Linked DNA regions of Oryzias latipes. The protein of the gene in region 1 purifies or fractionates together with the protein of each later gene. This does not show direct contact. Links are inferred from orthologs where the notes say so. Each region holds a gene or a part of one and is shown in the gene's direction. Other genes may lie near its edges.

Region 1 (4,434 bases):
TCATCAGCCGGCTTGCCCCCACAGGGGTCTGATTATTACCAATTATGTTAGTTTATTCTTTTACTGTTGCTTTTTTCTGTCCTGGTTTGTTGTTTGCTGTGGAACTGGGCAGACGATGCCATCAGTGGAAGGAGCTTGTGTTTTGAGGATCACATTCAGTCTTTTTCTGTGTGACGGTGCAGTCAGAGATCAGCCTCCAATGCTCTGAAGTCCTTTGGGGAGGTTTTGATTTTCATCTTCTTGCTACAGACGGCAATGTCAAAATATCAGCTGTTCACTATTTATTCAAAGAAATGGTTTATTTTATAATAAAACATTAACAGTCTGAACTACTTGAGTATGTATGTATACATGATAAATCTTGTTTTTGTTTGTTTTAATGCTTGACTTCAAGTGATTTCCATTGATACAAAACATGCTTGGCTAATGTTTTTTAAAAAAAAAGCTTTTAGCTGAATAAAATTTGCTGTATTTTTTAGAATAATTGAACCCGCTCAACCGTTTGGTTTAGGATGCGTATTTAAAATGATTTTGACAAAGCATGCCATGTTTGTTTGAATGTTTTTTAGATGGAAAACTTGACCTCCTTTCATTTATGAACGTTCCTAGCTCTCCTCCGCAAGCCTACTTTTTTTAAACCTGTTAAATGTGCTTTTTGCCTACAGTCATGCCACATTTTTGTATAACAAAAATGAAGTTATCTCTTTAATAAATCAGAAGAAATATAAAGAAAATTCACGTTTTTGTTTGTGGTGATATTCCTTGGTCAGGGCTGCAAGTGACCATCGGCCCAGATCTAACGGATGAAAGAAAAACCCATTCCTGCTGTAAAATAGGCTTATTTTTTCCCACACAATACAACAATCTTTTAAGCTGGAACACATTTGGGTTATCCAAAATCAAAAAGGGAAAAGTCTTTTCTATCTACCCCCTTTTTTTATTTTTACAAAAGGAGATCCTAAAAGCGGATAATTTTTCTGTTTTTATTTGTGAAATTGATTAAAATCATTTTATTCCACATTTTCTAAGACTTTTGCAAACCAAATAATAAATAAAAACAACTCTTTTCAAAAATCCTACTGAAAACAGATTTACATTATTTCTGAACAAAGGCAATCAGATGTGTAACATACATGACAACATTAATTTTCTGGATTGTAAACCTTTTTACTCAAAGTTGCTGTTACGTTTATTTATTGTAAATTATAATGCCGGATTTGTATGAATAAAGTTTTTTTTTAAGCATTTGTCTAATTCGGACACAAGGCCACAGTCCCAGCAGCCAATCAGCTTTCAGATTCATCAATTTCCTTCTTAGCCTTTATCCAATTGGATCGTATTTTACAGACTGTAGCGTCGTTGCCATGGGCAACATCACCGAGGCTACACAGTTTATTTGGCAAAATCAATGTTACACGGTAACTCTTCTGCTCTGCATTCATATCCAAACCGTGTTGCTCAGCGCGTAACGGATGTCCACCTTTACATTCTTTTAAAAACGATGACGTCATCTTTAAAAAAAAGGACAGCTGGCCGTGAATTAATCGTGTTAGCCGATTAGCTTGCTAGCTAGCGTTAGCGCATCTGCATAATCCCCTGCTTTCAGATAATCTCAGTCCTAATTTGCACCGGTTTCGTCCTGTAATTTAACCTTATCTAGATTTTCTTTTACCAATTGTAAGCGAACATAATCATAGTCGGATATAAACAGCACCCCGTAATCTGGTCAAAACCAAAGAGTCGCCGGATTTTTCTGTTATTCCCCGACAAAGTGAGGACGAGGTGAAGGCTGAAGATGGAGATCCACCTTAACAGAGTCGATTATGTTCAGGTAACACGACACATTTAAATTGTATTTATTTGTACTTTTCGTCTTGTTATATTACTTTAATGTGGACGTCTGCATTTGGAGCTGGTGATAGTTGAAGTTAATTCAAACCATCACTGCTCCATCGTTCCCCTTCAGGTTGGAGTGACATCTCAAAAATCTATGAGACTTCTTCCAGCTTTGGGGAAAAAGGCAACTCAAAAGGTAGAGTTTGTGCCGTTCTTTTCTGTTCTTTTGGAGTCTCCTTACTAATCTCAAGAATCTCCTTTTCGTGCTTTAAGTTTTTTTTTTAATTGTTTGAACATTTTAAACTGAAGCAAGCTATAAAACAAGACATTCACAACAAAAGCAATAAGAAAATCATTTTGTTCAATTTCTTTCCAACTAAGTTGCATAAAAACATCAAGTTGAATGCAGAAAAACAGCTGTTTAAAGCCTGCATAGCCACAGCCCTCTGGTCTCCTTTGAGATGCTCTCTTCCGGTTGGAAAACAGTTTGCTGACTTTGATACAATTTTAGTAACATCTTCACTAATGATCTGCAATGTTCCCCAATGAAGGATTTTTGTGTTGCAGGTTGCCATTGCTGATCACGATGGGATTCTGACATGTTTTGGGATGAAGAAGGGGGAGGCAGTGGTGGGTTTAGGTTTTACTGACTCATCATTCACTTCTCCTGCTGTCAGTAAAGAGACTCTCATTTCAGCCTGTGTTTAAAACACTCCCGGGCCAGAAGATCTGTAGGATGGACCTTGGAGGTGCTCTTGGGACTCCTCGGGAGAAGATCTTTGTCTGCTCCGGCTCTCAGGTTCGAGGATTCACCAAGAAAGGCAAACAATTTCTCACCTTTGAAGCCAATCTTACTGAAAGCATCAACGCCATGTGAGACGCGCTCTAAAACTTCTCTCATCATTATTATTGTTTGCTCTAGTTGAGTGAGTTGTTCGGAGAAGTGATGGAGAATTGTGAGCTTTCCCCTTGAGTGGTGTTTGTCTTCCAGGTATGTCTCAGGTGCTGACCTTTTTGTGTGTGCAAGTTACATTTACAATCACTACTGTGACTGCAAGGATCAGGACTACTTCCTGTCTGGAGACAAAATCAATGATATCACTTGTGTGTCCTCGGAAAAGCTCCCTCACCTCACGCCGGTCTTGGCATGTCAAGATCGAGTTCTGAGAGTCTTGCAGGTCAGTTGAGCTTTTATTTCTTTATCTTTTCATTTCAGGAAGTGCATGACCTTCAGTCAGTTCCATATAGTTTACTTTCTATCATTTTATCTGCATGTGACTGAAGGGCTCCACACTTGCCTATGACATTGAAGTCCCCGGTCCTCCATCAGTCCTGGAACTGTACAATAAAGATGCAGGCTAGTCCATTTGTTTTTCAGCTGAGTATCCAAAGAATATTATGGCTTCGATCTGCTCTTTTTACACCAGCTTTGGCATTCCATCCATCTTTTCTCAGGGGAGGAGGTCCTTTATGGAACTACAGATGGAAGACTTGGACTTGTCCAGATTGGCGAGCACTCCGCTGTGGCCAAGTGGGAAATTGATAATGACAATAAAAAAGGGGGTAACTCGCTTTTGGATGATCAAATATTTTCAATCACGTTTTCATAGAAGCTGCTTGAGTATCAGACTCATTTCTAAGTGTAGTTCAGCAGCAAACGGCGTTTGTCTCCTGTCAGGGATTCTCTGCGCCGACGCGTACGACATCGTTGGAGACGGCGTGAATGACATCCTGGTGGGCAGAGATGATGGGACGGTGCAGGTTTATGGCTTTGACAGTTCCAATGAGCCCACCTTACGCTTTGAGCATGTAGGTTTCTATCAGGAGTCTTTGTTGTTTTATTCATCTTCCTTCATTCTAATTAACAGTTAATCTCTGTCAACAAATCCATTCTGCCAAAACTGCATCCTTTTGTTTTTAAACCTGAAGCTATTTCAATTCAGTTGTTCGCTTCCTTTCCTCCCTTTCAAGCAATCTTTGATTTAATATCTATTATCTATTATCCTAAGTTTGATACGTCTTTGTATGAATGCTTATTGTATTGTTTTGTGCATTATTCCTTGATTGCTTGAAATAAAGCATTTCAAATAAATAAAAAAAAACAAAAAAGTTACATTTATTTGCGAAACATAAATCCATAACTTTAGTTGTTGAGCAGGTTGTCAAAGCAAAATGATGAATTCATTTTAAATTTCTTATATTTGTCTTTAACAGAACTTTTGTTTGTAGTTGTTGTTTTGGTGTTTAAAAGTCCTGTTATTGTTTGAAAAAGCTATTTATCCTGATCAGCATTTCATGACCTGAGGGCTAAAGCGGAAACGTTTCCTTCCTGGTCACAGGTTTTGTCTGAGAGTGTGACCTCCATCCAGGGAGGCTGTGTGGGGAAAGAGTCTTATGATGAGGTTGTCACTGCCACTTATACAGGTTAGTAGAGACGTTTTCCTGAACCTTACAACACTGTCAGCCTCTCAACTATTCTGAATTCACAGGTTTCACGCATTGTTAGTTGACAGAGGACCATTATAATTGAATCTGGAATACTGCTCCTCTTCTAGGATGGGTGACTGGTTTGACCACTGAATCGCAAAAAACTGAGGC
Region 2 (2,789 bases), on another chromosome or scaffold:
AGAATCTGTGGACGCTTTGCGTTGGACGGTTGCTTCCGTGAATTGCCTTCATTTCTGCACACTTCGTCAGCCAGTCCCGCTTATACCATGATCAATTACAAAATAAATAAATATTCAATCAGTTTTTAGTACTATTTTTTTCTGGTTAGGATTGAAAAGATTCAAAAAGCGGACCATTGTTAGGTGGTGCGGTGCGTTGTCACGGTAACATGACAACGCACTGATCTTGACCGCAGCAGCAAAGGAAAGCAATATCTATGCTGATCGTCACAGTGGGTTAAATAAAGTGGGCCGCCGTGGTATCAGTTCAGAGAGAAAGTTCATCTCTTACCGCTTGTTTTTGTTCAGTTGATGAAGCTAAAGTTTGTTTTAAAGAAGCCGGCGCTGTGATATAGAACATGTAAGCTATGTGACCGGAACGGTTGTCACACCCAGCAGCCAATCAGAATCAAGTATTCACCCGTACCATGGTATAAATTGTAATATATATTATCGTCTGATATTTAAAAAAAAAAAAAAACTATATTGTGATATAAAAAATTCTATATTGCCCAGCCCTACCTCCCCATGAACACTGTGTATATGTTCTGAGTAGTTTTTGACAATATCTCTAACTTCTTGTGAGTAGTGTGTGTTCAATTTGTCATTTGTCTTATCTTCACTAGTGGCTCTGACTAACTTGGAGGACGTGGAGAATTCCACCAGAGCTTATGAGCAAGCTGTGAATCTAGATGAGTGAGTTTACTTTGCCTTAGACATGAAGTTGTGTAACCATTTCATCCTTTCAGATCATTGATGCGGTTTGGGAGCTTTCTTTATGATCTATCTCTAACAGATCCAACCCCCTGGTCAACTTGAACTTTGCGATCTTCCTCTATAATCACGGGGACAAGACAGCAGCTCTGGATCAATATCAGGAGATGCAAAGAAAAGTCAACATCCTGCAGGACAGCAGCAGCAACTTAGAATTTGATCCTGAGGTGTGTTCTGCTTCAGCGGCTCTGTTTTTTTTGTCCTTCCTCGTTGTTAATCCTCTTCTCTGATGCACCAACAGCTCATGGACATGGCTCAGAAATTGGGGGCTGCTCTGCAGGTGGGAGAGAGCCTGCAGTGGACCAAACCAGGCAAGGACTCCAAATCCAAGCCTCACTCTGCAACACTGGCCAAAAGCCCAAGCGCTCCTCTTGGCACAAACCAAGCTCTGGGTCAGGCCATGTCGTCAGCTGCAAGCTACAATAAGAACATTCAGCTTCCAGCAGGTACAGTGGCTTCACGGCAATCCCTTAGAAATTAGCAATGGCAAGATTTTGTAGAAACTCCTTTTTTTTACTCGAGCAAAAAACACGCAGCAGACATGCTGAAAGAACAGGGAACAGGGAATGAAATAAGTTTTTTTAACACATTTCAAACATTAATATTTTTAAAAAGTATTGTTTTTTTATTTGACTTTGAACAATACTATTAAATTATTTTTATATTTATTTTTGTGACAATCATAATGACACGATGATGCCAGGAAAAAATGATCTTGATGGTTTTTGGCGTCTAAAATTCCCTCAGAAACGAGAAAAAAGTCAAGCTAAACTACATTTTTTACTTTTTCTTAGGGGTTTCCAAAAGCCTTTTTGCGGCCCCTGATCCAGAGGCCGAGGTTGGGAATGACCCCGGCCTCCCCGCCGACCCTCCCGGCTCCCCACAACCAGCAGTGTGACGGTTCCCCGTCTGGAGCTTGGGAAAAGAAAAGGCGGGCAGAAGAATGAACTCGAAGCCCTACGGTTCTTTCCAGCTGTCAGTAGGTCAGTCGTCTTTGCAGCTTCAACCACAGGAGCGTTTGGGCTTTATTTTTAATGTCACATCTTGTTGGACGTAGAGCTTTTAGAAATATCGACCTTGGACCCTACAGGTTTACGTTTCAATTCTTTTCACATAAAATCTAGCTGCATCCCAGTTACAGTGATGTGACAGATTCTCCTTCTAGTGTGTGGAGGAGAAGCTGCAACAATCACTGTTGATTCTAGCAAACGGAGGCTTCTGACGTCATACATTAGGCTACATGGCTTGTTTCTACCACAGAACTTGAATGTAAAATGCAATACATGCTTTTATATGTGGATAAATGTCATGTGTATAGAGTATTTAATATTTAAAAAAAAAATTATTAAAAAAATGAATTTTGACCAGTGTGTGTTTTCTATTAACTTTGACCTGAAGACTAGAATCGTGTGATAAAATGACAAATAAGAATCTGCACAGAGTAAGAGTTCAACTCTGGACACATTTTACATCAGCTTCTCAAGCATTTAAAAGAAAAACAGAGATTGAGGATTTGTAAAAAACCAGGCCTGTTGCTTCCTCCTGCAAAGTCCTCAGACTGATGCGTGAGTTCAAAACCCGCTGGAGCCCTCTTGTGTCAACAGTGCTTTATTTGACGTCAAATCCTCCTGGCCTGCTTACTAAATAGAGCAGCAAACGAGCATTAGTTTGTACTGAAAGTGCTCAGCAGTTAATTTCCTGTGTAACACCTCTCACCACTTCCCAAAGCACACTATTCTGTCTCTGAAACATAAGTGCTTTAGAGTACATGATGTTAAACAAAACCAAATGTAGCGTTAGCACTGGCCCAATCCTTGTGTGAGGGTGTGCAGACGCCACAGGTGAAACGTACCTGTTCAGGATTTGTTACACTTCTAAATGTGTCCAAGTGTAATCCTAATTAAGCAAAAACTTACTACCGGTACTCATAAAGGCAAAGTATTATAGTAAAATTATTATTTTGATTTCATACAGTG

The links.
Region 2: the proteins of bbs7 (region 1) and bbs4 purify together in Homo sapiens (co-immunoprecipitation; 7 studies listed by BioGRID and IntAct, counting the BioPlex papers as one, with this or other methods). This does not show direct contact. The link is inferred for Oryzias latipes from reciprocal best matches to the Homo sapiens genes BBS7 and BBS4.

The regions. Positions count from the first base shown.
Region 1 is NC_019868.2:201,039-205,472, forward strand, and holds the start of bbs7 (Bardet-Biedl syndrome 7 protein), read left to right. Parts: upstream 1-1,338; 5' UTR 1,339-1,795; coding exon 1,796-1,831; intron 1,832-1,966; coding exon 1,967-2,032; intron 2,033-2,403; coding exon 2,404-2,466; intron 2,467-2,533; coding exon 2,534-2,709; intron 2,710-2,827; coding exon 2,828-3,014; intron 3,015-3,120; coding exon 3,121-3,193; intron 3,194-3,291; coding exon 3,292-3,399; intron 3,400-3,514; coding exon 3,515-3,645; intron 3,646-4,175; coding exon 4,176-4,260; intron 4,261-4,391; coding exon 4,392-4,434. Other genes in the region: tmem33 (transmembrane protein 33), read left to right, coding at 1-32.
Region 2 is NC_019861.2:10,995,025-10,997,813, reverse strand, and holds the end of bbs4 (Bardet-Biedl syndrome 4 protein), read left to right. Parts: intron 1-665; coding exon 666-735; intron 736-835; coding exon 836-980; intron 981-1,054; coding exon 1,055-1,259; intron 1,260-1,607; coding exon 1,608-1,711; 3' UTR 1,712-2,177; downstream 2,178-2,789.